7 linked regions of the Oryzias latipes genome follow. The protein of the gene in region 1 interacts with the protein of each later gene in a pairwise test. Links are inferred from orthologs where the notes say so. Each region holds a gene or a part of one and is shown in the gene's direction. Other genes may lie near its edges.

What was found.
Region 2: the proteins of trim23 (region 1) and atpaf2 interact in binary tests that used the Homo sapiens proteins (3 or more experiments, as listed by UniProt). The two-hybrid records come from large-scale screens. The link is inferred for Oryzias latipes from reciprocal best matches to the Homo sapiens genes TRIM23 and ATPAF2.
Region 3: the proteins of trim23 (region 1) and usp20 interact in binary tests that used the Homo sapiens proteins (3 or more experiments, as listed by UniProt). The link is inferred for Oryzias latipes from reciprocal best matches to the Homo sapiens genes TRIM23 and USP20.
Region 4: the proteins of trim23 (region 1) and PHD finger protein 1 interact in binary tests that used the Homo sapiens proteins (3 or more experiments, as listed by UniProt). The two-hybrid records come from large-scale screens. The link is inferred for Oryzias latipes from reciprocal best matches to the Homo sapiens genes TRIM23 and PHF1.
Region 5: the proteins of trim23 (region 1) and arhgef3 interact in binary tests that used the Homo sapiens proteins (3 or more experiments, as listed by UniProt). The link is inferred for Oryzias latipes from reciprocal best matches to the Homo sapiens genes TRIM23 and ARHGEF3.
Region 6: the proteins of trim23 (region 1) and tbc1d22b interact in binary tests that used the Homo sapiens proteins (3 or more experiments, as listed by UniProt). The link is inferred for Oryzias latipes from reciprocal best matches to the Homo sapiens genes TRIM23 and TBC1D22B.
Region 7: the proteins of trim23 (region 1) and pitx1 interact in binary tests that used the Homo sapiens proteins (3 or more experiments, as listed by UniProt). The link is inferred for Oryzias latipes from reciprocal best matches to the Homo sapiens genes TRIM23 and PITX1.

What each region holds. Positions count from the first base shown.
Region 1 is NC_019870.2:3,058,475-3,063,048, reverse strand, and holds the start of trim23 (E3 ubiquitin-protein ligase TRIM23), read left to right. Parts: upstream 1-1,626; 5' UTR 1,627-1,678; coding exon 1,679-1,771; intron 1,772-1,882; exon of another isoform or gene 1,883-1,907; intron 1,908-2,210; coding exon 2,211-2,373; intron 2,374-2,690; coding exon 2,691-2,812; intron 2,813-2,891; coding exon 2,892-3,170; intron 3,171-3,242; coding exon 3,243-3,425; intron 3,426-3,519; coding exon 3,520-3,735; intron 3,736-4,574. Other genes in the region: mitotic-spindle organizing protein 2, read right to left, coding at 1-74.
Region 2 is NC_019877.2:3,256,195-3,260,941, forward strand, and holds the start of atpaf2 (ATP synthase mitochondrial F1 complex assembly factor 2), read left to right. Parts: upstream 1-1,634; 5' UTR 1,635-1,878; coding exon 1,879-2,002; intron 2,003-2,088; coding exon 2,089-2,133; intron 2,134-2,230; coding exon 2,231-2,379; intron 2,380-2,460; coding exon 2,461-2,558; intron 2,559-4,013; coding exon 4,014-4,094; intron 4,095-4,217; coding exon 4,218-4,330; intron 4,331-4,445; coding exon 4,446-4,561; intron 4,562-4,747. Other genes in the region: gid4 (glucose-induced degradation protein 4 homolog), read right to left, coding at 1-84, 176-283, 634-693, 1,079-1,270. UniProt on the Homo sapiens protein: Plays a role in the assembly of the F1 component of the mitochondrial ATP synthase (ATPase).
Region 3 is NC_019870.2:7,738,721-7,742,801, reverse strand, and holds part of usp20 (ubiquitin carboxyl-terminal hydrolase 20), read left to right. Parts: coding exon 1-10; intron 11-96; coding exon 97-199; intron 200-286; coding exon 287-355; intron 356-427; coding exon 428-585; 3' UTR 586-598; intron 599-1,795; 3' UTR 1,796-4,081.
Region 4 is NC_019874.2:28,769,540-28,774,388, forward strand, and holds the start of PHD finger protein 1, read left to right. Parts: upstream 1-1,729; 5' UTR 1,730-3,895; intron 3,896-4,001; 5' UTR 4,002-4,152; intron 4,153-4,849. UniProt on the Homo sapiens protein: Polycomb group (PcG) that specifically binds histone H3 trimethylated at 'Lys-36' (H3K36me3) and recruits the PRC2 complex. Involved in DNA damage response and is recruited at double-strand breaks (DSBs).
Region 5 is NC_019863.2:32,612,846-32,617,495, forward strand, and holds the start of arhgef3 (rho guanine nucleotide exchange factor 3), read left to right. Parts: upstream 1-1,428; 5' UTR 1,429-2,315; coding exon 2,316-2,353; intron 2,354-4,650. UniProt on the Homo sapiens protein: Acts as a guanine nucleotide exchange factor (GEF) for RhoA and RhoB GTPases.
Region 6 is NC_019865.2:4,883,000-4,887,080, reverse strand, and holds part of tbc1d22b (TBC1 domain family member 22B), read left to right. Parts: intron 1-2,389; coding exon 2,390-2,560; intron 2,561-2,723; coding exon 2,724-2,794; intron 2,795-2,898; coding exon 2,899-3,027; intron 3,028-3,106; coding exon 3,107-3,172; intron 3,173-4,081. UniProt on the Homo sapiens protein: May act as a GTPase-activating protein for Rab family protein(s).
Region 7 is NC_019872.2:3,654,871-3,658,491, forward strand, and holds the end of pitx1 (pituitary homeobox 1), read left to right. Parts: intron 1-1,485; coding exon 1,486-2,034; 3' UTR 2,035-2,759; downstream 2,760-3,621. UniProt on the Homo sapiens protein: Sequence-specific transcription factor that binds gene promoters and activates their transcription. May play a role in the development of anterior structures, and in particular, the brain and facies and in specifying the identity or structure of hindlimb.

The sequences.
Region 1 (4,574 bases):
TGCACGTTCGCTGTGACCACCAGCGCGGGGCTGTCAGGGGCGGCGGGCAGCGACGTTTGTGTTGGTTGAGACATTCCTGATAATTAATACGACGGCTTTATATTTTAAACAATAACAAAAAAAGAGAGAACAAATCGACGTCCTGCAGAAATTTAGCTAACATATAAACCCACGACAGGCAAAATGTTTGCATGAAGCATGACGTTTTAGTATAAAAACAAATGCGGGGGTTTGGAGACGAAAACACGAAGCTGCTTTGTGTTGAAGTAGGTCGCGCCGAAAACACGTCATCATCAAGAGACAGTAGTCTGTGGAACTGTTTTTTCAACAACTTTATTGTAATTTTTTTTAGCAGAATACAAAAAAACTAGTGAAAATTAAATTATATAAAAAACATAACATAATACAGACTTATAGCAAAAACGGTGGCAAAGAAAAACAAGTAACATAAATACTTAGGTGTAAAATAGGCTAAGTATGCTTTATGTAAATAGTTTTTAAGATTCACAAATGTTAATAATCTTATTGAAAAGGAGCCTGTTGTCATATTTTGTTCTTTTCTCAGTTTGAAGAGAAAAACCACCAAAAACATTGTTATGATAAGAAGCTAGTCTTGAAGAATGATGGGTAATGTAGTCTCTAGTAATAGTAGTATTCCATTTTACACATCCTCATAATCATTGTTAATTTGTTTTTGTACACCTTATATCTCCTCCTTATATCAGCTTAATCTCTTTTGTGCTTATAAATTCCTTCTATTACACTTTTATTTTTAAATTGAATTTTTATCCTTTTTACGGATGTTATAAAGTTCTTATTCTCATTTATGTTTATTTTGTATTTTTGTTGTTGAGGTAAAATTGTTTTTTAGGAGACAACTGTTTTACCTGTCCAGGTACGACAGATGATAAATAACCTTTTGGCTAACTTTGGTGAATTTGCAAAGATGCATTTTCATGTGCAAAAGGTTATCTTGTCAAATAAACTAATAAAATAAATAAATCCTTAATACACATTTTACATGCTGTATTATACAGGTGAAATTGATCCGATGTTAGAAGAACGAAAACGTTCATTATTAATCATGTATAATTTATGGTAATTAACATACAAGTCATGTATTATATTGTAACGATCCGGCCGGACCGTCACTTTAGTGGGGTAGCGAAAGCCTACTGCTCATGAAGAGGTTCTAATGGATAGCTGTCCGTGCCCCATACACCGTACGACACATTACAGTCTCAAGTTGGAAGAAACGTAGAGAGAGGCAATATTAGTTTTTATGCAACAAGCCTGTTTATTCTAGCACACCATACAGCCCAAACAGCACGGAGCCTAACTTCAGCTTCCAGCCCTCTGACTCAAGGTTTCACCTAAGCTCCCCACTTCCCATGAGCCTTAGGGGCTGAAGGCGGGGCTAACCCCCAGGTCGCTACAATATGTTAATGTATTAATTATGTTTAATTGGTTATTATTAAATATTTCATTTTTTTGTTTCTATTTTTATCCAATATTTTTACAATTTAAGAAAAGGAAAACAACGGACGCATTAGTGTTAATTGGAACCGGAAGTTGATTTCACACCTGCCTGTTCACAACAAAACTCAGTAGACGAAACCGGAAGTAGCTGGGAAATGTAGTCTCGGTCTGGCCCGGTCCTCTGCACTGTCGTCTAAGAATGGCGGCTGCGGGAATAAACAAGCAGGGCACCGTGGTGACGATGGAGCCCTGCTTTCGACACGGGAGGGGGGCGAACGGAAGCACCGTTAAGGTTCTGATCGTGACTTTTATTTTCTGATTAGAGTCGGACTCCTGCGGCGGGGCAGCATCAGAGTCGAGGGCAGGGAGGCTAGCAGGATGAAGAAGAAGAAGCCGCTGCGTTGGCGTAGCCTGTGGATGTTAAACGTGTAAAATAGTGCAGCGTGCATCTCTTTATTCATTATAACACTGTTTTTAACTATAATGAATGAGACCTGCTTAATTCTAGAGCATTTAAAAGGCTGGTTTGGTGTTTGCGACACATTTGAGGTGCGAAGGCTAGGTGCCACTAGCTTAAAGTTAAAGTAGCTATAAATTTAGAAAAAATGCTTCAGATTACATTTTATATTGTTTATTTGCTGAAAAGTCTAATGCGTTGGTGGCGAAACGAGCAGCAGCTGTTTCCTGCAGCGTGGAAAAATGTTTCCACTCGGTGTCCGTCCCTTTTTCAGGTGCTGGAGTGCGGAGTTTGTGAGGACGTCTTCTCCCTCCAAGGCGACAAGGTCCCCCGCCTGCTGCTCTGCGGTCACACGGTGTGCCACGACTGCCTGACCCGGCTGCCCCTGCACGGCAGGGCGGTCCGCTGCCCCTTTGACAGACAGGTCACGGAGCTGGGTGAGTCCGGGTTGCTATGGCTACCGCGCCTCACCCATCTCAGTGGACTAGCGGTAGAGTGTCCGCCCCTGAGACAGGAAGGTCTTTGGTTCAAAAACCCCCTGCTTAACCCTCAGCATTGAACCACAGAATGGATCCAGAGTGCAGATGTGTCTGCGGCTCACCGCCTCCATAAGTTAGCAACTCACGTAAAGCTAACATATGCAGAGTTGTGCATGAGACGCTGAGAATGCAATCTTCATCAGTAGAGCAACAGTTGAGCTTTGTGTTGGCACCTCTTCTTAAAACAGACGTTTTCTTTCTTCACGTCTGCTCAGGAGATTCGGGGGTTTGGGGCCTAAAGAAGAACTTTGCGCTGCTCGAACTCCTGGAGCGACTCCAGAATGGAGCCACCAACCAGTCAGGAATGTCTGAGGACGCCCTGAAGGGCATGGGAGAAGTGAGTGGGTGGGTGGGGACTTGTGCTTTGCCTCTGTAGTTTCTTCTCTTCGCACTCATTCCTCCCCCCCTTAATCCAGTGTATAATACGGTGTGACGAAGACGAGAGCCACACAGCCTCCGTGTACTGCACCGTGTGCGCCACCCACCTGTGTGGCGAGTGCTCCCAGCTCACCCACTCCACTCGCACGCTGGCCAAACACCGCCGCGTGCCGCTGGCCGATAAGCCTCACGAGAAGATGCTCTGCCCCCAGCATCAGGTCCATGCTATCGAGTTTGTGTGCCTGGAGGAGGCGTGTCAGTCCGGGCCTCTCATGTGCTGCGTCTGCAAGGAGTATGGCAAGCACCAGGGACATAAGGTAGGCGAAGGCGTCCTTTCAGGGTCAGGATCTTGATCTGAAATGCTAATGCGTATCATTTTTCTCTTTTAGCACGCTCTCCTTGAGTCTGAGGCCAATCAGATCCGAGCTTCTATCCTGGACATGGCCCACTGCATCCGCAGCTTCACAGACGAAGTGTCCGAGTACTCCAGGAAGCTGGTGGGCATCGTGCAGCAGATAGAAGGAGGAGAACAGATCGTGGAGGATGGCGTAGGCATGGCGCACACCGAGCATGTGAGAAAACCTCGCATCCATCAGTGTGAAACCATGACTCCAGAGTTTCCCCTATCGTGACCTCTTTTTGTTTTTTTGTTTTCCTTCTCGTCAGATTCCCGGCACAGCAGAGAGCGCGCGCTCCTGCGTCCGGGCTTACTTCTCAGACCTCCACGAGACTCTGTGTCGGCAGGAGGAGATGGCGCTGAGTGTGGTGGACGCCCACGTTCGGGAGAGGCTCATCTGGCTGAGGCAGCAGCAGGAGGACATGACCATCCTGCTGTCGCAGGTCTCCACCGCCTGCCTGCACTGCGAGAAGACTCTTCAGCAGGTAGCTGTGCTTCAGATCCCAGCTCACAAGTCTGTTTTCCTTCTGGCAGGTTTAGGTTTCTTTCTTGCATCATTTCGATAACTTTAATTTGGAATTCTGACACACGCTCAAGTACATTTTATCTATAAATACATGTTTATTTTTTTAAATACATGTCATTTCGTGTTTTGCTATTTTTTAAACTGCCTTACAAGCTTCGGGTGAATTAGCATTAAACTTTTTTTGCATTTATTTTTACATTTCGGTGGCCCAGAAGGGTCACAACACAACACATTAACTTTACACACAACACATTAACTCACAACACAACACAATAACTCACAACACATTAACTCACAACACAACACATTAACTCACAACACAACACATTAACTCACAACACAACACAATAACTCAACACATTAACTCATAACACAACACATTAACTCACAACACATTAACTCACAACACAACACAATAACTCACAACACAACACATTAACTCACAACACAACACAATAACTCACAACACAACACATTAACTCACAACACAACACATTAACTCACAACACAACACAATAACTCACAACACATTAACTCATAACACAACACATTAACTCACAACACATTAACTCACAACACAAAACAATAACTCACAACACAACACATTAACTCACAACACAACACATTAACTCACAACACAACACAATAACTCACAACACAACACATTAACTCACAACACATTAACTCACAACACAACACAATAACTCACAACACAACACATTAACTCACAACACAACACATTAACTCACAACACAACACAATAACTCACAACACATTAACTCATAACACAACACATTA
Region 2 (4,747 bases), on another chromosome or scaffold:
ATAGTCCGAGTTCTTTAGATCCTCGTAGTCGAACTCGTCAGAGTTAAAAGTCTTCGCATACCGGTAGAAAGCCTGGAACTTGCCCTTGGTGCCAAAAGAGAGCGCATATAAAGTTACGGCGAGACGGCCACGTCGCCGCGGACGCCGAGCGTGGAAAAAGTGTCGTCTTACTTACCCAGTGCTTACGATCCACGTCCTCGTCTGCATCCCACTTTCGGGTGAGGAACGGCCTCTTCCTGCTGATGATCTCCCCGGCGAAAAAAGTGGTCAGGGTCGGATATTCCTACGAAAATGTGCAACTGGATTATACCAACAATCTTGTTTTGTAAACTTTACAGCGTTAAGGCTAGGTTATCGCTATGTATAAATCATTAATAGAAAATTAAGACGTTTAAAAATATTCTAAGCAAATCGATCCCTTAATTAAAAATATCTGCACTTCAGAGGCAGAACAAAACAAAAAACTATGTAGAATTATTTGGCTCACGATCAGTTGGACTAATATTTAGTCATTGCAAGAAAAATTACACAAAAGGTGGAGGAAAAACTTGCAAAAACATTTAAAATTCTAAGTCCAGTTCATCCACATGTACATATTCCAACATGAATCCTCTAAATATGAACAGAACTGACCTCTGTGAGTCCTTTTATTTTCAAATAGCCACACAAGTAGGAATCCTCCATTGTGACATGCTGTAACAAATAATAAACAGAACTTTTAGGTCAAATCTCCACTGAATTTATGTTAAAAAAAATAACAAAAACAAAACTTGACGGTCAGAAGCTGCAGTTTCTCAAAAAATGTCAACAGCCCCTAATGTTGCAACATTTAAGCTAGTTGTGATAGTTTGTGTTAATTTAAACTGGTAGAAAATTGTGCAGCTGGTTGTTGTTAGTCGGTGTTGTTTGGGCGCAGTTGCTCTGCTACTCCCACCACTACACCCACAGTTGGTCCAGGACAGGCCGGGACCCCCTTTTTTTTTCAGCTGTCACTCTTCCAGCCGCCACTTTGACACATCACCCGAAAGCCTCGCGCTCGCAGTACGAAAAGCAACATTTCCGCCTCGGTGCCCCCCACCTGTAAGACCACCTCAACGTCGTAGGAGTTCCCTTTGCTTTTCTGGTGGCCTCTGAACTTGGAGCCGCTGTACAGCAGCGACGTGACAACACCGGGCTGGTGAGTGTTTATCGGCGGCAGCGGGATAAGCGAGGCCGAGGATGCAAAGGCCGCGGCCGGGAACTCGCTGAGATATCCAGCGGGGACAGGCATAGCTCCAGCTTCGCAGGCTGAACTCCAACCGCGGTCAACGGCCGTGCGGCAGCGGGACTCGGTCAACCTGTACGACCAGCCAGAAAGAAAGTCCCGAGGAGGTCCTCAAACATTCAAATTGCTCTTAATTGCGCCACAGTTCAGTTTGCGAAGCATCAAGCTCCCCAGAACTAAAAGTGGACTTCGAAGCTGCGCTGTAACCAGTAGCAACGGCTTATCTCATTGGTCCAACAACTTCACCCTCGAAGATCGTCGACGCTCATTGGCTGAGCAGGCGGAAGAGTATTCGTGAACATTTTTGATGTAGTTTTTAAGTGATGTGTAAGCGTTAGCAGTGCCAAAAATAAACTACATTTCCCAAAGCATGCAATGAAAACATTTTGTAGCTTTGTAGCATCGAAGGTCACACGCGTGGTTTTGAACCGATGTGTTACTGTAAGCTAGATGAAAACCTTAATGTTTAACAACAGATTTATTGTAGAGTCAGGTTCATTATACACTCAAGATCTGTTTGTTCAATGTGGTACTTTAGTGCGTGAGAGACCGGCTTAAGAAATCGCTAGTGAATCGTCTTTTTTATTGTAAACAGTATACGTCCAAATTTAGGTATGAATATGTTTAGACGTGTTTTTCAACTTCGAAATTCCTTTGGAAATGTAATTTCAGTTTGCAAGTCGTGTCCCAGTCATCAGTACTCCAAGTGTTTGTCAAAATACTCCACTGCATCTACAGGTAAACGTGTTTATTTTGACATTACTATTATTAATTATCAATATGCTGTGTGCTAATCATGTGCTACATGTTTTGCTATTTGACAGAGAGGAAGAGATTTTATCAAGATGTCAGCATATCTCAAGGAGATGGTGAGTCTTATTTAAAATTTAAAATAATTTTATTTATTGTTCCAGGGAAGACCAAGATTGATTATATTCTCTAATTTTGTGACGATTTTGTCCATAGATGGTTTGTATGAAATAAATCTGGATAGAAGGAAACTCAAAACTCCAGGAGGGAAGCTGTTCACAGTACCAAATGAAGCCCTGGCTATCGCCGTGGCAACAGAGTGGGATGCTCAGAGGGGGACACTCAAGTTTTATACCATGCACCTTGTATGGGATATTTTTTCTGACCTATTTACACCACAGTGTGTAGCCAGCCGTACTCATATGCCGGTTGAACTTTTCTTGCAGACCACTTTGTGCAACACGGCTCTGGACAACCCCACCCAACGCAACAAGGAGCAAATGATCAATTCAGCGTTGAAGTTTTTGGAGACTGACACGATCTGGTATGGATTTAGCTTTTATACTGTTTCTGTCCAGAGTTGATGATTATTTGGCTCATTTATGCCGGTTACTCAGTTTAAAAGATAAAACACCTGTATTTCAAATCAATATTTTACTTGAATGGAGAAAAAATGTTCTTAATCTAGAGAGAAAAGCAACAAGGACTTCAAAATAAAAGCACCTAACAGAAATACCAAAACAATAGAAAATTCAAAATTAGGTTTGTTTAGATAAAAAGTACCCAAACAAATCCTGGACTTGTGAGATGCAACTACATCTAATATGTTTTTTTTTTTTTCTATTTCTCTTTGTAAAAAATAAAACGTTATCTGCCATTCTGTGCTCTTTTTTTGCAATTTTTTTTGCAAATAATAGTCAAAATGCAATTACTTTTTAGCTTTTTGAAAATGTTCGAACCTATTAATATAATTTAGACTTTTTTTTTCATTATTATAAATTATACTTGTATAATGAGATATATTGTTTAACTGTCAACTATGTATTAGATAATCCCTTTAGTTCTTTAAATTTATATATTACATATTTATTTATTTCCCTTGTCTTTTTAACTTTTTACACATATTTAAAAAAAACTTATTATCTTATTCAGAATTTAATTTAAACATTTTATTGTGGTCCTGAAATATTCAACTTCTTTACACTTGTCTGCTTAATTGTTTTATGGATACCTTAGTAGTTTTAGCAAACAGATTTGCATCAGTCTTTTATTTACAATTATTATGTTTTAGCTACTTTATTGTGTAGGTGTGAATTTGTAATACATTTATTGGCACTATATATCTTTTTACATTTTCTATTTACTTTAGCATATTAGCTTAGGATTTAGCAACGTTCACTTTCTTAATTTCTTTAGCTAATTAACAATTTTATTTTACTGTTTTTTTGTGTTGATCCTTTTGTTATTGTGATTATTATTAATAATTATGCAGTGTATTTTTAGTTATCTCCCTTTATTTGACTAATGTAGCATTTTGCACTAAACTGTAATGCCACTGTAAAAGAAAGCAGATGTTTTTAGCTTATTGCAGAAAACTAGCATTTTTGTTTATGGAAATAAAATAAAAGAAATGAATTTTGGAACTTCTATGAATTTCATATACTAGATATTTGCAGGAGAAACTTTTTTTTCTCGGTCCATTGTCAGATGATTCCAGACTCCAAAGCATTAAAAATAAAGAATTACTGTGAAAATGAATGCAACAAACTTTTTCTTTGACCTAATTTCTTTAATAGGACCATCATTGTCTGGCCAGTAAAGTGAAAGCAAGGTCTGTTTTGTTTTCACCGGAGATGGTTGCCATATACCTGACTGTGGAGCAGGCTGTGCTGCTCTCTTATAGCATCTGCCATTTGGCTGCCTCTTTTTTTTAAGTTTCATTTTCAGATTAAGTTACCTTGTTGTCACAAAACAGTGATTTATTTATGCTTTGATTCAGTTACAGAGTGGAGGATCCTCCTGGTTTAGTGGACCTACAGAAGAACGAGTGGGATCCGGTTCTGCACTGGATTGAAAACCGGTAAAAAAAATAAAACAAAAGCATTAATCTTCACATCTTGTGCAGTAGACTTCCAAATGATGTAGGAACTGTCTCAGTAAACCATACATTATTATGCATTTTCTCTGTACTATTGCATGGCAGATACAATGTCACTATTGGATCTTCATCGAGCATTCTGGGTCCTGAAATTCCACAGGCAACCAAGGAAACTTTTCGACAGCATCTCAATTCTTACAGCCTCTGGTCCCTGACGGGTAAGACATCTCAACTCCAGAAAACGTGATCATCTATAGATCTCAACTTGTGCAGGCTGAGATGATGTATTTATTGTTTTTGAAATGTTTAAGAATTGTGTCTGTTTCTTTGCAGGACTTGAGTTTGTGATCTCGCAGCTGAAGTCTATTTTGCTTTCACTGGGGATGGTTGACCGATACCTGACAGTGGAGCAGGCGGTGCTGCTCTCCAGACTGGAGGAAGAATACCAGGTGGGAAAAGTCCATTTGATTTACCATCAATCTTTTATAATATTTACTATACTAAGACTTTTTTGTTTGATTTTTGTCTGTTTTAAGAAACAGATATTATTCTATTAATACAATGATATCTAACTATGTAGTGGGAAAAAAAAACCCCATTGTAACTAGGTTTATTTTATATCAAATTTGTTTTTT
Region 3 (4,081 bases), about 4.7 Mb from region 1:
TTTCATCAAGGTAATTGCCGTTTTCTGAGAGTTTTTCTTTTTTTAAATCCATCTTAGTGCTTTTTATTGCATTGACCGTGTTTTTGTTGTTTGTAGCTAAACAAAGAGTTCCAGGCTGAGGAGGCTCCCACAGTCATTTTGTGCATCAGTATGCAGTGGTTCAGGGAGTGGGAGAGTTTTGTAAAGGGGAAAGACAACGGTATCACTTCCAAATGAATTTGTCAATCCTATTTCTTTACTTTTCTTAATTTAAAAAAATAAATGAATTTTTTGTGTGCCATCTCAGAGCCGCCTGGTCCCATCGACAATAGTAAAATTTGTGTGATGAAGGGAGGACACATACAGCTGAAGCAAGGTGAACACCAGCACCGATGGATACTGATGTGTGAAAAATGAAGATATAACTTTTTTATTTTTTCTTAATTAGGCGCAGATTATGGTCAGATCTCAGAGGAGACGTGGCAGTACCTTTTGGGCATTTATGGAGGCGGACCAGAGATTGCAGTGAGGCAAACCGTGGCTCCAGCTGACCCCGACAGCCTCCACGGAGAGAGGAAGATTGAAGCAGAGACGAGAGCACTTTGAAATAAATACAGAGGTTGGAAGTTTGTTTTCTGCACGGTTTTAGATGCTCTTACACTGAAATTAAGACACATTTGTGAACTTTTCAAGACATAAATGTAAAACTTTTTATCCATAAAGGCCCTTGAGAAGAAGTTCTTAAGAGGTAGAAAAATGCTTTTACTTTGAACTTTTTTAGGACTTACCTCAAAAGGAAAAAAATACTTAAAATATTTGATTACAAACAGTAATTTGTGCCAAAATCTGCCTCCATAAATCTTTGTGGAGAAGCAAGACAAAGGGACAGCTTTTCCGATTTTCTAAAATTCCATTTAAAGACCCACTCCGATGATAATTTGGTGTTCTTAAGCATGTTTTTGTTAGGAAAATTAGGAAAATTAAAAAATCAATAGGAAAATAAAGGAAAATTAAGATTTAAAATTGCAATTCTGAGACAAAAAATAGCTTAATTGTGACGTAAAAAATACGCTGGCCGGGCCGGAGCCTACCTCCTCCGCTCCATTCTGATGCATCCACACGTACGTCTTGGTTTTCCTCTTCCGAGCTCCAAACTGTGCACCTGGATAGGTCGCACTGCTCACAGAGAGCTCCCTTATTGTTGACAGGAAGTGGGGTAGGATTGCCCCGTGCCAAGGGTCCCGCCCACCCTCAGAGGGTGATTTTCTGATTAACTACTGGTGCTATGCAGTTGTCCTAGAAAACAACACAGGATTTTTTTGTCTTGGCTAAAAATAGCATAATCACATTTGAAGTACCAGAGGGAGCGCTTTTAGAGTAGATCAAATAGTGCGTGGAGTATGTCTTTAATCATAAAGAAATAGAAAGCTTACGGGCAGCCTTGAAAAGGACATGTGTGAATAACACACGCCCTCTAACTCACGTTTACCAGCTCTGCAAGGAGGAATGGAAGTTACTAACTTAGCAGTCAAGACAATTCAGGCAAAAATGACTCCAGAGCAGGTGAAAGTAGAGTAACACACATTTCTCTGAACATCTCCATGTGGAGTGACTTGCATTTGTGAGCTGCTCTGAGCTTCATGTAACCTTGAAGCAAAAACTTTACGACTTTCTGCAGCTCACAAATTCCTTCTTGCCAGCGGAGAGAAATAGTTCTACAGATGTTTCCAAGAAGGGGCCAATAAACAGAGCTGAACTTGTTGAAAGTTGGCTCCTAGTTTTTCATTTTGCGTTATTTGTTTTTTCATCTTTTCAGGTCTTCTGGTTCCTTCTTGATTCCAGCCCTTACATGAAGCTGAGGAATTTGCACCTTGGTGAAGAAGCCGCATTGTGAGCACTTTGTAAATGTAGCAACGTGTTAAGTTGATGCCAGGCTATAAGAGGAGGAACCTTCAAATCCTTCAGTTTGATCTTCAGTGTTTGGGCATTTTGGAAAACAAACCATTACTAAGACGTTGTTGGTAGATGTGGTGTCTCCGTGGCTGCTGTAGTGGCTATACGTCATGTACCGCTTTACTGGTTATGGCAGGCAGACGGCCTCCTGCGTTACGACCCACAATGCTGCAGGGGACTAAACGCTAAAGTTTAGTCAAGACTTTTATCTGCTTTAGTGTAAACGACAGCAACAAGGGTTCATTAACAAGCTTTGTGTTGTATGTCTGTACAAGTTGCTGCAAACGCAGGCGTGAAAGATGTAAACCTGAAATGTGCACTGAACCCTAAAGACTGGAGGTTTATCCGTTTGGTTATGTTTGGCCAGTAAGATAACCATGAGTTTGTCTATTGATGCATGCACGAGACTAAATTTGACCTTTTTTGGGGCTCAGAATGCATGCCCTTGCAATTAAGATAACATTGATAGGATCATTGTGCATAAAAACGATTTATTACTTGAAGTTTTTCCTGCTTTGTTGATGCAAGTGTTACCACTGGATAAGGATTTTCACAGGTATAAAGTCAACGAAAAACATTTTGTTTCAAAGTATTACTGCAAGTGCATTTTAGAAGAGTTTACAGGGTAATCTTTTCCATTTTAGAACATGACTAAAAGTAGTTTTGAGATGACTGCAAAAGAAAAAAAAATGGCATGCAGTGCTTCTTCATTAAATCAAACTACTTCCTTTTTTTTTTTTTTTTACGATTGAACAACTCATTTGACAGAATCTTAACCACTGTGTTGTAAAAAAAAAAAAAAAAAAGGAACCTAAAATACCCAAAAGATATTTAATAATTTGATCTACATTACATGTTTTCTTCTCTTTTCTTTTATTTCCATGTTCTCATACAAGAGCCCCAAATAACACCCAGTCTTCACCTGTAAAAAAAAACATGTGCATGTGTAAATATTGAAATCTTAGTTACATTTTTAAATGTTTTTTCTTCACAGAGGTGGATATCTTTGAGACGAGATTAGGCTTTTCCCACCAAATTCCATTGTCTTGGTGTCAAATCACAGAGACGTGCGTTCTCTTAGACATGGATAACCTTGCAATCATGGATATCGCACAAGAAAAAAAGAAGCACTTTTTTTTGGTTTTGTTTGTTTAAATATAGAAATACTTGTAAAATATTTATTTTATAAATATATATGCGCATATGCATATGCATGCACATTTTCAGTTGACATAAAGTTCACAACTCAAATGACTCTCAGGGTGCAATCTGACCGAAGGTTTACAGTTTTAATGTCACAGGAGGGTTTAAAATGTTTTCATCCCTAAAAAAAATCATATTGGGGTTACTGTCTAAAATGTACAGATGGAAGTATGTAATCATCAAAAACGGCTTGTTACCAGCTAAAACTTGATCAATACTTCAGTTTTAATTTGCTCTTTTTTTTTAAATTTAAGATAAAAGGAGCAGAAGGAAGAAAACGTGTTTTATCTGCCCCTATAACTACATCAACAAAAGTAATTCAGAGTACATTTAAGTCTGTTTTGTTCATTTATTAATAAAATGTACTGCCTTGTTGTTGTTAAATGTAGTTAAAAAATTGTTGTTTTCTTTAAACCATGTTAAATGGAAACTAAATTCACTACAGCACTGGATCCCCTTGGATAAAATCTAAGCCAAGTCAATATAAAGATTAAAAAGACTTAAAAATTGACAAATTACTTTTTTTGGAACTACTAAAAAACCTTAGGTTTATCCTTTTTTGGCTTAAATTTAATAAGCAAAAACATGAAAAAGTCTTGGATTAAGAGAGATCTTAATTAGAATTTAAGATTAATAAGTAAAGGTTGTATTACTTTTTTTCCCCTCCAGGTTCTGCATTACATTTCTCCTTGTAACAAAAGAATGACACCAACAGAAAAGATTTGGATCAATTTGACTACAGGTACTTTCAGGAAATAAAGCTTTACAGATCCAACTATGTAATTATTTTGACTTGTTATTTTACGATAGTGTTTAATTAAATTTAGGTTTTTAAACTGTGATCGTATTGATGAAATTCAGGGCTTTGTACTTCCTCAAATGCAGAATCTGTGAGTCGTTTATAGCTGCACAAAGAAACCGCCTAGAATGTCATTTTATTTTGGAA
Region 4 (4,849 bases), on another chromosome or scaffold:
CCTACCTCATTGAAAACACAATGGAACATATATAGTGACTGATCAGACCAACTAGACACACAAGGGGGAACTTAAAAAGACTAAGACAAAATACAGCAAGCAAACTAAACTAATATCCATCCTGTGGTAAATTAACATACACAAATGAATGAAAATAAAGAGCATCAAAATAGAAACTAAAGTAAAGCAACACAAGATAATTTATTGTCCCCTGGCCGATGGTTTAGTGCTGAATATCAGGCCTCTGCTGACTGGCATGCATTCTTGTGTCAGGCCTGGTTCCCTCAGCACTGGTAACTCAAAGCATAACATCAAATTAATGAAGCAAATTATAATAAAGTAAGCTGAAACGTGTTAATCAATTTTATGTTCAAATGTGTGTGTGAAAAAGAAATCTAAAAGTATATGCGAAAAGATATAGTGAACGGATATATGTAGGGTGCGGTGCAGGAGGTTACTGCTCTGATGGGGTGGCAGCGTAGGCAGCCATCACACACTTCCTGCAGCTCCCCTGGGAGAATCCCAAGGCGAGCAGAGAGACGTAGTCCCTCAAACGTGTCCTGGGTCTTTCCCAGGTCTCCGCCCAGTGGGAAATGCCCGGAACACCTCCCCAGGGAGGAGTCCAGGAGACATCTGGATGCTTTTGGTTTTAAGCAGCTTTGAATGGGCTTGGTTGATTTCAACTTGTTAAAAAAATTCTCTTCAAATTGTAAAGCAAAGTGGTTTCAGTGAACAAAAAACCTTTGAAGTACATTTGACTTGAATGATTGACATCAGAGAGGAAAACCATGATCCGTGTTTTACCATCAACATTTAAAGCTCAACACTGTCTAATGTGGTTTTGTAATATCCAAAACATACAATATATAGTGTGTCTCATTCAAAAAAATATGTGTGAGTGAGTGTAAATTAAGCAGTTTTATAATTTTTAGATTCATATTCTTGTTGTTTTTTTTTTGTTTTATAAATTTCACTCACAGATTTCTGCAAAAGCTCCACACCAACCATGAAAAGTTATTAATTTTTAGGCAAAGTTAATAATCTAAATATTTTCATTCATGCAACCAATTTGAGAACAGCTTTTACTTTGAAAGACCTGTCACAGAGGCCATCAGTTCTACAGATTACAGCATCTACTGACTTATTCTGCGTTTACCAGAACAACAGGTTGGTTTTTAGTCTTCCTGAAGGGGCTATTTTTCATTTTTGTTAAATCAAACTCAAGGATTCAGCAGCAACTTTTGACAATATCACCAACCTGAAGGAACACACCGTGTCCGTCATTGACTACATTAAGAAATGTGTGGATGATGTGACAGTGGTCAAGACCGTCAGGAAGAAATCAAATTGCAAACCATGACTAACAGGAGACGTTTGTTCCTTGTTGAGAGCTTGGAACATGGCTTTTAAATAAGGAGATGCAGCAGCGTACAGTCTGGCAAGGACGAACCTGTCACAGGGGATTAGAGGGGCAAAGAAGCTGTACACACAAAAACTGAACAGCCACTTCATGTGTGAGAAAGAGACAATATGCCGGAACAACCGCCCTTTACCCCTTGTGCTATCCCATGGGGTCCAGATGACCCCACCCTTACATTGACGTGTTCTCCCTACCATGACAAAGGTGGATAAAGGCAGAAAGATTTCATGTAATCCATGGACACCAGTCGAGATCACAAATTTAGCGCACTGTCTTGTGGGGTCTAGATGACCCCACTACCAATGTTAAAGTGCCAAGGATAGCACAAGGGTTACCAGAGGAACTGAACAACTTCTACGCATGGTTTGATGTTTACAGCACCATCCAGGCACAGATGCTGCTGCTGTGATCCAGCAACACAGCATTACAGCCATCAACCGCAAAGCGGCTGGCCCGGACAACATCCCTGGACAGGCTCTGAAAGACTGCATGGAGCAATTGAAAGATTTATTCAGCGAGATCTTTAACACATCACTCAGACAGGAATTTATACCCACCTGTCTTTAAACTGCTGTCATTACTCCAGTCCCAAAGATGTCTGATCCAAACGTATTTTGCCCCGTGGCCTTCACACCCATTGTGACCAAATGTCTTGTGCGCTTGGTTCTGAAGCACATCAAGAAGAGTCTTCCAATAAATATGGACCCTTTACAACTTGCATCTTCAGTAAATAGATTTACTGAAGATGCCATCTCCACTGCTCTCCACCTGATCCTGTCACATCTGGAGAGGAAAAACACCTATGCTAGAGTCCTCTTCATCGACTTCAGCTCGGCTTTTAACACCATCATTCCACAGCAACTGGTGGAGAAGCTGAAGGCAATCTGCAATTGGATGCTGAGTTTACTGACAGACGGGCTGCAGACAGTCAAGATCAACACACACATCAAGGCCCATGTCATCGAGCACAGGCACACCACAAGGGTGTGTCCTGAGCCCACTGCTGTTCAGTCTGCTCACGCATGACTGCACAGCTAGGTACAGCACCAACCACATTGTCAAATTTACGGACGGCACAACAGTAATTGGTCTCATAAACGACAATGATGAGTCTGCTTACAGAATGGAGGTGGGGCAGCTAGCAGTGTGGTGTGAATGACATAATCTCCAGATCAATGGTGATCGACTTCAGGGCATCTGGCAATTACCACAACACACATCCGACCATAAATGGTGTTGCTGTGGAGAAGTTCCTGGGGGTGCATCTCACTCCAACTCCACTCCTCCAACTCCAAAATGACCACCAGAAAAGCACAAAAGCCTCCATCCCCTCCAGAGACTCAAGAAGGCAGGAATTCCAACACCTCGCCTCATCACCTTCTACAACGGCACCAATGAAAACGTGTTGACACAGAGCCTTACATGCTGGTTTGGCAGCTGCAAGGTTCAGGACCAACAACCGGTCAGCGAGATTGTTGGAGCCCATACCACCATACGCAGAGTAAGCTTCCTCATTAGGGACCCTCCGCTTCTCTGTCATGGGGTGTTCTTCCTTATGCCATCTGGGAAAAGGTTCAAGAGTATCAGCAGCAGATCCAGCGGGATAGTAAAATCTTCTTTTCACAAGCAGTGAGACTGCTACATAGACTGTCCTCCTCCTGCATACATGCTCTCACAAACTCCACACCGCAATCAGACCCAATAAACTACCCCCACCCTCTGCACCACCCAAAGACACAATATATACTGCTGCTAAATGCAGATACTAACTTTAAGGATTGAATGCTGGTTTCTATTTTTTTGACATTTTATTTTAGTTGATTGCTATTTTATTCTATTTTATTGCTATATTTTCTTTTGCACTGTCATATTAGTGAGGAAAAACATCTGGTCTCACCTGTGTATTCCTCTGCAAATACTATGAGTGAAATAAATGACAATACATTAATCTGGAATTCAAGCATTCAAGGATTTTATTTGGTATTATTTAACCACAGGGTGAATTCAAATTTGTTGATCTGGTCCCAGCCAATTAAAGTGGAAATATGCCAAGTAGAAAACAACAAGAAATGTATATATAAATCCCTTACATCGGTAACATGAGTACAGATCCTATCGAATATTGGATAAATGTAGTATTGTGGCACTTTACTGGGACTTTCACAAAAAGATGCAAGAACAGAAATCAACAATTAAACCACAGCAGGAAAATGACATGTTAATAAAAAAACAATGCAACTTGGTAAGAAGAAAAACAATTGATAAGATGCCAAACAAGAGCTTTAAACTCAGGGTGAAATGAACTAGTGTTGACTTATCAAACACAAACTCACAGCTGGTTCCTGGATACTTCCTTCCTTCCTGGTCCAGGAAATACCAGGAACAAGGACTTTGAGCTAAGAAAAGTAGAGGAGAAGAAAGTCATCTGAGAAAAGAGCTCTGCGAGGTTCACACTCGGAAATCCCAAAATGCCAGGTGATCTAGAATAATCCAGCCTTGATTGGTAAATCTGGAGAATTACACAAACACATTTAAAAAATGTTGCTGCAACTAAAAGGCTCCATTCTTTGGTAATCCCCAGGTTCCGCACAGCGACTCCAAAGTAATCAGGATGTTTGAAATGATGAAGAACTCTGATTTCCTGGCTCCTCACAGCAGGAGTTGATATCAAAACAGAGCAGACGAACGGTCCAATTCTTCAGTGAAAAGGATTGGAGTTTTGGAAAAGTGAGGTAAAAACATTCCACGTTCCAGGATTGAATGCAGACTGGTGCTACAGAGAAAAGGGAAAAACTCAAGGACTTTCCAGTTTGGGTTTACTGGTTGCTCTCCGGAGCTTCTGTCAAAGCTGTCCTGTGATGCAGCAGCAGCTGGTAGTACAACGCCCCCCGGTGGTCTCACGTGGGAAATCTGCCTTTAATCTGCCAGGGGCCATTTTGAAGCAGAGATAACACGTCTGACTGGTGGGAGTCAAGTGTGAGACACAAACAAGGAGGAAGCCAAAACACAGATAGATACACTAAATGATGAAAAAGCCTCCTAACCTGAAATGTATCTTTCCTAAAAATTAGTTTTAAACATTTGAATTGTTCCTGTTTAAACAATTGACTCTTTAATTAAAGTATGCATATAAATGAGAGTTACAGACTATTTTTGCTTCAAAATAGAAAAGCATTAAAAAGGGGAGGAGCAGAAAGTGAATACAACACAATCATTTTTTTTTACTTGTATTAGATTTGAAGCAATTGACATAATTTCAACAAGATTATTAGAAAACCGTTTATTTGCTTTATGGAATATTATTCCAGTATTTCAGCAATAAAACTCCGTTTTATTGCTGAAATGTGTCTGTGATTCGACTGAAATTATGTTCTGTGATTTCTATTTAGGATTATAAATTCGAATTATAGACGGATGATGAAGGATCAC
Region 5 (4,650 bases), on another chromosome or scaffold:
TTATTTTTATGCAAGTTTGTTTGAAAGACTTCAATTCCAGACCTCCAGCTGTCTCCTGCCGTGTCTCTCATTGCATCTTGAAGGTTTTGGGATGAAGGTCTCATCCAAGCAGGCGTGTTAAAAAGCTGTAAACTCTCATTTGCACTCAAAGCATTTTAGCCACGACTTTCACCTCTTTCTGACAACAAACATGAACGTTTAAATGTAATCATGTTTGCGTTTTTGAGTAATTTTTCATTTGCATCCGTTGTAACAAGAACTCATTTAGGCCCTTTTAACCCTTTAAAGTCTGTTTCTGACTGAATACTTTTGTATTATTTCGGATTCCCATCGCTGTCTTCTGTTTCATACATGGAAAACATTGCTTCCAACCTGCAAATATTGTCCCATGAAATGTTTGCGTTTTGTATAGGTAGACGATCCTTTCTGTATTGGAATTGTTTTTATATGTGAACTGTTATTTTTATTTTATTACAATAATTTAGGAAGTGAATAAATCTATTTCACAGAAGTTTTTTCTCGATCTCTGCTGCGTTTTCTCCGGTGGAAACTTCAAATCTGTTTTTGGGCAGCATCTGACCGTGTTTCAGACGTGGTTTCTGCGTGACTGAAGAACCATGAAAATGTTTCAGCTGCGCTGAAGCTGATGATCCTGCAGTAAAAGCAGAGAAACCGGTTTTGCTTTGACCGGTGGATCTGCGTTCTGACGTGAAACAGCAGCTCTTTTCTGCGTGAGCACTGAGGCATCGATGCTAAAAACAACAGGAGCCTGCAGGACTCAGGCAGAAGCTCAGTGCACGGCAACTCCAAACGCTGACCTTCAAAATAAAAGCTTCAACCTTTCAGCTGCCTTCGATGCCTTTTTTGTTTTTTGAACAAGGATAACAGAATTCTTTTCACATTAAAGAGTAAATCTTACTGCTTCATGAGGTAAATGTTTGTAGCTCGTCTGTATTCCAGTTATTTAATTCCTGTTGATCACGGATTGAGAACTGGAGACTTGCAGGCAGAGACCTAAGAAGACTTTAGACTTTTGAGGAATGTTTCAACATCTATTTACTGTCAAATGTGACGTTTTGACCAACGGCGCAGACTCCAGTGCAAACGTGCAGAAAAATAAAGAGTGAAAATAATTATAATATGCCTGAGAGGATAACCAGATATACTTCAAAGACCTTTGTTGTCACATTTGTGTTTGTATTTCTGTGTTGTTGCTGCTTCATCTCATTCACTGGTTGGTTTATAGTCATTTTTTAACAACAGAATTTTTATTTTCAAAAATCAAAACTTTAAACTCAACTTTGACTCTAAATAAGAAAAACAATCAGAAATTCAGCAAATGAGTAAAATTAAAATATTGATTAAAATATTCAAACTGATGTAAAAGTCAAACTAAATCTGATCCATAAAGGAAGTGCATCACAAACATCCATGCTGGAGAGTTTCCTGTCCATCCCACGGCGTGATAGACAGAGCATTTCTCTCTGAAGCAGTTGTCTTTTTTCTGCTCAGAGTTCCCCGTCTTCAGTTGGACTGAGGCTTTTATTCTGTTAGACTTCTGAAATCCTCTAGTTTGGCGTTTGGAAGGCCTCAGGCTCCATTTAGACTTTGTTTTTTCTGCCTGTTTAGCCTCCATGGCCTAAAATATCTGGAGCTGATGCTGCTCCTCCAGCTGGACCAACTGTGAAAACATCAGCAGGACTCTGTTCATCCATGACGGTTCATGAACCTCTGGAATTCAGAGAGAAGAGCGTGTCAGGAGGAGGAAAACGTACCACGACTCTCATGGTGTAGAATCAGCAGGAATTGAGGTTCTGTTCTCATGTTCCTTGTGTCAGCAGTAAAGGACCCACGACCATAGAATCCCCCTTTGACATGTAAAATCTGTGCAGTTTCATTTAATAATTTGTTTTCTGCTGTTCTTTTCCCGTCAAAGTTAATAAAAGTAATCCAGGTGTTGTGTAGTGCAGTTTACAGACTGTCCGATTAGGGATTTACTTTAAATAATTGTAATGGATTACATTTCAAATGTACTTGTTTCGTCCGATTAAGAGTGGATGACCTTTATTTTGTTGAGCTTCCTGCTTCAACTTGTGCTTTTATTTCGAAGTAGCAACCGGAAACGGGATGGTTTTTGACCGTTTCTAGCTGAGCGTTTGAAAAGAGGAGGAAAGTGGAATGTTTCCTTCCTCTCCATCTGTTGGTTGCGGGACTTCGTGGAGGTTTAGCTGGACTCTTTCGTGTTTGAAATCACCACAAAGCGGATTTTTTTCCCCGCCTGAGATTTTCTGCTCCGCGGGAGGAGCTGCAGGCCGATGCCGGCAGGTGATGATGGATGCCAGCGGGGATCCAGGTGAGGGGGGGGGCTGTCTGCGATTTTCTTGTTGAATTTCAGTTTAACCTTTTGAATGTCTGTGATAAAAAGTAAAACTTTTGAAACGGATGACCCTTTCTTCAGTCAGAACTCCTTGACAAAATTAGAAAAGTTTTACAGAAAAGGTTTCCCGGTCGAGTCTGACTGCAGAAGAATCTGGATCTTTATGATCCAAACCTGAGAGGAAACGTCTGACAAACGTGTGAACGGGAGTCCACATCAAAGCCGTCATGTCTTTGATGTTATCACGTGATCGGACTGTTTTTGCCAGTTCGTTTGGGTCTCAGGTGATTTGCTGCCTCGTGCAGGTGTTTCAGGTCGTTTCCATGTTGTGCTGTGACGTCAGCGTTCTTTAGGGATTGAGTAGCTGAAGAAGTTTCTTTAAACCAGTTTGGGGAGAGGAGGAAGTTTAAAGTCTCTTTGGGCTCCTTTGAAAAGCAGAAAAAGGTATGTAAAGGATGCAAAACGTCAACCAATCAGAGGTCCTGACCCAAGGTGACTTCATGGCTGAAAACCTTCACCTCACGGGAGAATTCTCACCTTTGTACGCAAACACTAAAGTTTACGCTTTTGCTGACATCAGATGAAGTTAAAAACGGCATGAATTCATCCAGATATCCGGGTTCCACAGCAACACCAGATCATCACATCACCACCACCGTGCTTTACACTTGGTGTTTGATTTTCTGCAGAAAACAAACAAGCAGATCAGGTTTGTTCAGATTCAGACTCGGACTCTTAAACCTCCCGGTAAATGTTCTTGATTTTCTGTGAAGTGACTGCAGTTTATGTGAAGCAACAGTTATTTCTCTGCTTGGACGGTTCTGTTGGAGATCTGCAGGATTTTCTTTTAAATAAACCCAAAACAGCTGCTTTTCCAGCTTCTAGAAAATAAAAATCATTTAGAAAACAGTTTGACCTGAGAATCATGAAAGCACGTGTTTTTAGGATGCAATAAATGATGTACAGCTGCTTTTTTTGGACAGCCAATCATTTCAGAGGCTCCCGGGTTTGGAAAGTGAAAGGTGGTGCTTATGCTCTGGGATCCACTACAAGTGTGAACATTATTTTCTGTTCTGATAAAAGAAAAAAAGGTTTTCCTCATAGAGTCAATATTTTCCCTGTTAGGTTGACGTCAACAGCATCTTAAGTTTGAATCCACATTTATTTCCTCATAAAAATGTTTCTTTTTTTGTTGGAGTGTTGGTTAAAGGGCACATCTGCATGGACAGAAGGGGTGGGGTCTATTGAAAACAGATGAGGGGAAAGGATGAGGTGCAGGAATGGAACCTGCAGCCAGACACACGTCTGATCTGCATCTGCGATGCTCGCCGTTCCTGGTTGGAGTCGCTGGAGGTCGGACGGTTTAAAGAGCGTGTTCAGAGTTAGACGGACATGCACTGAGGGAGGGGCGCCTTTCCTTCTGGAAAAACAACTCCCAGGAAGGATTGAGTCATTTTCAGGCTCTGAAACGAGCAGAGAGCGTCCGCTTCACCACAGGCTGCAGAGCTCTGATGAAATCCAGAGGCCAGTAAAGCCCCCCCCCCCCCCTTTAGGATCTTTACATTCGACTCAATGTCAAAAACTAGCAGTCATCATCCACCATCATGTCCTTCAGATAACTTTAAAAAGCTACAGACTCACATCTGGTTGGAGAAGATGCTGCTGAAATACACAAAAGCTTCAAATGAAGCCAAGTCTCTCAGGAACAGTTATTTACTATATTAAAAACTGTAAAAGGATTCAAGTTAGCGGTTGATGTATCTGGTTCTTTTGCAGCAGGATTTGTGGATCCAATCATCAGTTAGATTTGAGCCAAAGCTGGGAAGAACCACTTTGTTTGGAGGAGATCCGAGTGCAGTAACAGGATCAGGCCAGAAGGGGGAGCTCTTCTCCCAGTCCAACTGTAACACGTTCCCACCATGGAGGTCATTTATTTTGAAACTTTTACAATCTGTGCAGCCAAAGCAAACTATTGGTGCAGATTATTATTAAAGACCGTAACGCTTCTAGAGATTATATACAAACAAAAATAAATTAAATTATAATAACAATCATTCAGAATAAACGCGTAGGAGAAATGCCATTCAAGAGTTTGATGAGTTTTTGTGAAAAAGTTTTATAAAACAGAAAACAATCATTTTAGTAGAGACCAGTGATCATAAGAAATGAATATTGAAAAATAAAATAAAATCATAGAGTATAACTATACTAGTTAATACTGTTAATCTTCATGTACAAAACATGTTTTAAAATGTTAATTAAAAACAAACTAA
Region 6 (4,081 bases), on another chromosome or scaffold:
TACAAAAATGTTTTTATCATGTATAAATGAACTGTTTAAACCCACAAAGAAGAGTTTCTCTAACCAAACAAAATATAATGATTTAAAGACTCACTGTGATCCTCTTTTTGATCTATTTTTAATTGTGAAAATGCAGTTTTTAGCCAAAATCCATAAACCGTGTGGGTTTTTTTCTAGGACATAGTTTCTGCAGAGCAGCAGTAGTTCAAAGGTTCATTCACCTTTGAGTTGTGGGTGGGACTAGCTTTCAGCCCCTCACCTAACATTTCCGGCGTGACAAAAATGGCGAGCAATATCGGAGCTATCGGGCCGTCCAGTTTGGATCCAGATTCCAGCTCAGACAAGGAAAACGAAGGCGTTCATGGATCTGCAGGTGGATGCATCAGAATGGAGCAGAGCAGGAAGCTTGTAGCCCGCCTGAGACCATCTTTTTCAATCGACATTTTTTCCTCTGCTCCAGCTATTTATATAAAGAAATACTCAAAAATGCATTTTTATGCTTAATTTTCTTTATACATTTTTTTCAACATCAGAAAAATGTCTCCGAAAAGACCAAAAGTACCATTTTCATTGGATTAGATCCTTAAATCTGACGTCATGTTTTATAATAATCCATCAACAGTTACCGCTCAATTTGTATTTTAGTAAAAAGTTCTATAAAAACTTAACAAAACAATAAAAAAATAGAGTTTATTGATGTAAGTTTCCTTCCTGTAGTTGAACACAGTTTGACAGATCCTCTCAGGCAAAGAAGCTCTGAGATCTTCAGGGTTCTTAAACGGGGACCATTAATACCAAAGCAAAGCCTTGTTCTTGTTCTACATTTAAAGTTCAGCATGTGAGGATCTGAGGGTTCTAGATGATCTGTGATGGGCCATTTAGTCTGATACATATGGACTGATCCAAATAAATAAGAACAGGTTTTTTCATTCCTACAGTTTCTTTTATGCAGATGGTCTGTCTGTTTTATGAGCAGCTGCATTCATCAAACACCTGCAGCTCCATTCACAGGTCACCTGAATCCCTCCTGCAGTTACTCATCCTGTAAACAAACCAGAAGAAAGAGATGATGGAGCTTTTCAATAACTTCAGCTGCAGTTTTATGAGACTCTCAGCGTCAGACAGTGGGAGCCCAGAAGAGTCCCTGCTTTTTTTGTTCTTCGGGAACAACTTGAGCTCTATTTATTTGATTTCTTCTTCCAGATTATCTCTCAGTAAAGTTCAGATCTGTACTCCCGCCGTCTGATGATTCCTCATCATAAAAATGGAAATTAAATTCAAACGATAAAGTTTTGAGCCACATCCATTCACACGAGTCAGTAAGAACTGGTGACATAATTTTTTTGTTTCTCATTTTAGAATAATCTTTGTTCATCTTCATTTTACCTGCATTGTGTTACAAAATAATCATAATCATATTCAATCTTCTTAAATGACACTTTGCAGATTTAAAAACTCAATGAATTTGGTTACTAATAAAATAACTAAAAAAAATTTAACTAGATGTTATTAAAAATGATTTGAAAGGAAAAAACACCTATTGTTTAAAAAAAAAAAAAGACCCAGAAATGACAGTGGGGAGAGTCCACGATGCCCTCATCTGCTTGAGCGTTCAGAAGCCTGCAGTTTTAGAAAAACAGCAAGATTGTCTCACGTCAGTCACAAGAAGAAATGCAAAGTTTCTCTGCCTGCTCAGTATTCTGTTATGAGGCACAGATTTGAATGGTGGATGATAGAGACCAGTAAAATGAATCCCAGTATAATCGGCTGTGAATTGTTCAAAACTCGGCTGCTGGCCTTTTAACCACAAAGAAGGAGCACATGACACCAATTTTGAAATGTCTGCACTGGCTCCCTGTCAGATTCTTTCATTAGTCTTAAGGCACTGCTTTTAGTTTATGATCCTCCCGGAGCCCTCAGGTACACGTCTACTGGGGTCAGAACAAAAACCCACGGCGAGGCCTCATTCCAGAACCGTGAGCCTCGCCTGCAGAACAGACGTGAGGGCCTCGACTAATGTGGACAGTTTTTAAGAAAAGCTGTAATCATTTTAGCTGCTATTAAGTAAGTTTTACCTTTTCGTCTGTTGCTGTTGTGCCCTGTCAGCTTTGTTTTGGAATCTTTTATTGATTTCATGGGGCGTTTCTTTTGTTTCAGATGGGTTTGATGTGCATATGTGGTGGATTATTATTTATTCATGATGTAAAAAGCACTTTGAGGTGCTGCTCAACTGGAAATGTGCTCTACAGATAACGTTGAATTTGGAAACATACTGTTGATATGTGCTGAAAATCTCTGAGCAAAAGGCCTTTATGGTTTCATTCCTCCTTAAGTGTTTTATCCCCTACTGAAGTCGGCAGAGGTTCATGGGCGTTTTGTTTCTCCTCAGCAGTTCGCTCCCCCCTGCAGAAGCAGCAGTCGCTGCCCGTGCGTCCCATCATCCCTCTGGTGGCTCGCATCTCTGACCAGAATGCTTCAGGAGCCCCCCCCATGACGGTGCGGGAGAAAAACCGGCTGGACAAATTCAAGCAGCTGCTGGCGAGTCCCAACACTGACCTCGGTACTGCGGCGCCGCAGACACCTCCTTGTAGATCTCAGTCAGCACATCAGGAGTGTCACTTTTGAGTGTTTGAACAGCTGTTGCAGTTTGTCCACCTCTGCTGTGAGGTCTGCAGAGAAAACCCGGAATGACTGAGGTCCTCTCTCCTCCCTCCCTCTCACAGAGGAACTCCGGAAGCATAGCTGGTCTGGAATACCGAGAGAAGTCCGGCCGATCACCTGGAGACTTCTATCTGTAAGGCTCCCAACCTGCAGTGTGCAACGTTTATCAGTCTAAACCTCTCCCCTAACCCATCGGAAACATCATCTTCTTTTTTTCTGCCCTTGACCTTCTTACAGGGATACCTGCCTGCCAACAAGGAGCGCAGAGAGCTGGTGCTCCGCCGAAAGCGGGAGGAATACTTTGGTTTCATTGAGCAGTATTATCACTCCAGAACAGATGAGCACTTTAAAGACACGTACAGACAGGTGAGGCAGAACTTTAGTCCACACAGAAGACAAACCTCTGACCTTCTGGCAATAATCTTTTGGACCCTCTTTCTGTCAGATCCACATCGACATTCCGAGAACCAACCCTCTGATTCCGCTGTTCCAGCAGCCCGCCGTGCAAGAGGTTAGATGTGCGCGAAAGGCCTCTTTGTCTTTAAATGGAAAAGTTCACCGTTTTGTCTCGGCGTGTTTGGGTTCATCTGTTCAGCATCAGTCAGTGGCTCAATCAGCTCAGTGTCAGCTCCCTGCAGCCTCCACCACACCAGTCTGAAAAGACGTCATCCGCAATCTAAAGTGAGACCGGAACAAGAGCAGACTGTGCTTTTTCCTGTTTCACAGCTCGTCTTAAGCAGAAATGACGTGGTGCATGTGGTGACCGCAGAGGAAGAAGCTGCATCTGATACCAAACCTCAGAGGAACTCTGCTGTCAGAGACGATCTGCACTGACCTCAGCTCGTTCCTCAAACGTGGCTTCAAGCTGATCCAAATTTAGATTTGTGAGAAATGATTCAACCTCAGTTTTATCGCAGCACAACTGACATAGTTTGATTTTGTTTTGAAGCAAACATGTTAAACACTTAAAAACAGGAACTTCACCAAAAACATTTGACAAGTATTTTGGTTTATTCAAACTCTCAAACTTCAGGTGAGCAACACATTATGTTCTGATGGAGTCTGTGACTCTGCCCCTCCCACATTGCCATGACAAAAGCAAGACTTGCTGCAAAAGCTGTGGCCCCCTGACCTTCAGGGAGTCCAAGTTTTAGTTTTTTGTGTATTACACCCTTAAAGTTCTGTTTACCCAAACAGTGAAGCAGGTCACACATTTAGCAGAGCTAAAAAAACAACATTTGAACAATTTAAAGCAAAATCAATAAACGTTTGAGTAAATATGGAAGGCCTGTAATACAAACTTTTATTTCTCAGCAAAAAATGGTTCATCATTAGAATGGAACTTCTAAGAAAATGTAGAAAGCCAATTTCCAAAAATGATGATTTCTACTCATCAGAACCAAAACCTTCTAGTTTCTCT
Region 7 (3,621 bases), on another chromosome or scaffold:
ACACTTTCTCACCTTTGCATCGATGCAGTATCGACCTCATTAAATAAAAGTTATCTGAATTTTAGAGGATTTATTTTAAAAGCTTCAATCGACACAAACATTGAAACAAACTGTTTCCACTCGCTTCACGTCCTCAACTCGACAACACGCAGCCATTTCTTCAGATTCTTTGCAAAAGCTACGCACCAAACGCGCCTTTAAAACAAAACAGCTGCAGTTGGTTTTAATTTACAGCAGATGCATGGCGCCCGACAGACCGAGCTTGACAAATCTCAAATAGCATCAAAATATTCAGTCTATAGAGAGAAAAAGACTGAAAGAGGAAGAAGAAAAGTTCAGATCGAGTGGAGTGGAGTGAGACCTGCTTTATATTTGGCTGAGCTTATAGCTCTTTGTAAGCGCACTTATTTTGTAAGGTTACTAAGTTTGCTTTTTGCAGACTTGGAACCATTTATTTAACATTTAGTCCTTTTCGTTTAAAGGCTTTACTTTGATTTGATGTGATTTATTGGTTTATTTTAGACTCTCAGACAACAACAGAACTCATTACAGAAATAAAAAAACGTATGAAGATGCCTCCCTCTTTAAAATCTAATTACTCATAATAATATATGGAAATGTTTACTGTAAGGCATAAACACATAGGCCACATTAGATTAATTAAATATGATAATTAGAATATAATTATTAATTATAATTAGTTTGATTTATTGCTTGAGAGGGAAGAAGCGAACTTACAGCTGCGCACCTTTATCTGACCATCAGCGGGTTCAAATGTTTTTATGCTTTTCTGACCTTTTTAGGTTATTTGTTTGATCTTAACCAGAGACAAACTTCAATGTCATTTTAAGCTTTCATTTCAATATGTATCCGTTTGTCTTGTTCTCAATTAGTGTAGTTTAGTTGAATCAAAATGGATTTTGTGATTCAATGAGAAAATCCCCAAAAAAACTCGTTCATCAATACTTATGAAAAAAGTAAGATGTACATTCCAGTGTTAGACGTTGCGACGTTTTCTTTTTACAGATTTAAGGTGAATATTTTTCTTATTATAACATTTTTTTAAAATGTTTTTCTAGAAACTAATATTATTAGGTAAAAATGTATTTTCATAATTGAAAAGGATAAAGTTCAATTTAGAAATATTATAATTCGCCTTCGTTATTTTTTTTTAACATTGTAAAGAAATGTTGGCAACTTTAATAAACCTTTATTTGAACAGATAAAAAATACAATTAAAAATTACAATTACATTTTTATTATTAAAAACCAGAAAATGACGTCCGCCTTTTTAAGTTTATGGTTTTTTATATAATTATTAGTTATGAATATTTTTTTGAACACAAGTGTGGGTTCTTTGATGAAGTGGGAAACCCAAATAATATTTTTTAAAATTTTTATTTAACGTGATATAGTAACAATGGTAACGGCTCTGGTGACACCCCACTGTTTTGCATTGCGCACTAACGCGCACGTGTCTTCCAGGTGTGGTTCAAAAACCGCCGCGCCAAGTGGAGGAAGCGCGAACGGAACCAGCAGATGGACCTGTGCAAGAACAGCTACCTGCCGCAGTTCAGCGGCCTCATGCAGCCCTACGACGACATGTACCCGGCCTACACCTACAACAACTGGACCAACAAGGGCCTCGCGCCGGCGCCGCTCTCCACCAAGAACTTCACCTTCTTTAACTCCATGAGTCCGCTCACCTCGCAGTCCATGTTCTCTGCGCCCAACTCCATCTCCTCCATGACCATGGCCTCCGGGATGGGGCATTCCGCCGTGCCGGGCATGCCCACCCCGGGTCTGAACAACATCAGCAACCTGAACGGGATCGGAACGTCCGGCATCAACTCGGCCATGTCGTCGTCCGCCTGTCCTTACGGGCCTCCCGGCTCCCCGTACAGCGTTTACCGGGACACGTGCAACTCGAGCCTGGCAACTCTCAGACTGAAGTCCAAACAGCATCCGACTTTTGGATACAGCGGCCTGCAGAGCCCTGGCTCCAGCCTGAACGCCTGCCAGTACAACAGCTGACGGGCTTGATGTTACAAACCCGAGGACGCCAACACAATCAAACAGCCCAACTGGATTATTGCAATCATGTTCTGAAAGAAAACAAAGGATCATGCGGGTTACACGTTTACCTGTGAACTTACACAGCAATTCAATTGAAATGTATTGATTTTTTATTATAAGGACTTGTTACATTTGCTGCACTGTACATATGTAAATGTAAATATATATACAGGTCTAATAAGATGATTTTTTTTGCCTTTTTCTTGCTTGTTTTTGCAGACCTTTGTGCAGAGGACTAGACCGAAACAAGAATTTAAAACTAAATGTCGACCTTAAAAGAACCATAGAAAAAAAACACCTTGTGCATATTTGATACTGTCTGCTTTCTGTTTTGTGCACATGCGTGGTTCAAGTATGCGCCTGCGGTTCCCAAATGCTTTCCATTCATCCAGAAACAGAACATGGGGAAAACAAACCCACTTGTTTAAACTGACGTGCTTTGTACAATAATGTAATATTTTGCAAAAACTAATTTGCTTTAAGTGTATTCCAAACATGATTCATGTGTTTACGGTGTTTGTTTGAATAAACTCCAGCTGAAGAGGTTTATTCCAAGAAGCTTTTAGGGGAGTCATTGTTTGGCGCTCTGCTTTTTCCAAAGAACAGGTGCAGAAAATAGCGCAGGAAATCTGTCCAATTAATTTAAAATGATTAAAGTAAAAGAGTCGGACGATTTTTAAAAGATCACAGCTTCTTTGTTTTCTTTTCTAAAGTCTAAAATTCACGTGGTTTGTGGGTTGTTTTTTTTCCAGTTTTTTTTTCACCCACCCTGCAGATATTGGTTTTACGCATTTTGCTCACTGATTGCAGGTCAAAGTAATACGCATTTGTCAGTGTTTAATACAAAATAAAACATGTTGACACGTTTGACTTAAGAAAACATTAAATGTTCTTACTGTTGCATGCGGTTAAAACGTTAAAGTTTATTTCAGACATTTTGACTGAGCCTCAGATTGAACTCGTGGCGCAAAAACCCAGTTGAGTTTCGCACCTGCGCGCTTCGTCTTCAAACGTGTTTTATGGCTCTTTAAGGTCAAAGCACAGACGACTGATTTTTGGATTCAATTGCAATGTTTTAGAAACAAATGTTTTCAACTATTGGAGCAAAATAAAATGCCGGTTTACTGCGAGTCAAACTTGGAATCAGTCGGAAGCATATCTTGTTTTTTGACACTTGCAGGAATCCCCATATCTATATTACTAACCATTAGACTGATATTAGCGGCAGCGCAGCAATAACTGTGTGTTTATGCTGATAGTGACTAGATCCAAATGTAAAGCCCGCGCTTTGATGAACCATTACACAGGATTCTGACAGCACACAGCGCACTTTTGCTGCTTAAGTGTGCGAAAATTGGTGTAAAGAAGCGTTTGAACGTCAATTTTTATTTTTTTATTTTAATTTTAATTATAAAACTTGTCTTTTTATGCATTTCTACATTTATCTCCTACTTTTTCCTCAAAACTATTTGGAGTCAAGAATCTTCGTTAAACACGGATTCTGTAACGCTTAAAAAACAGGATTTTATTAAAGAAAAAAGTTTG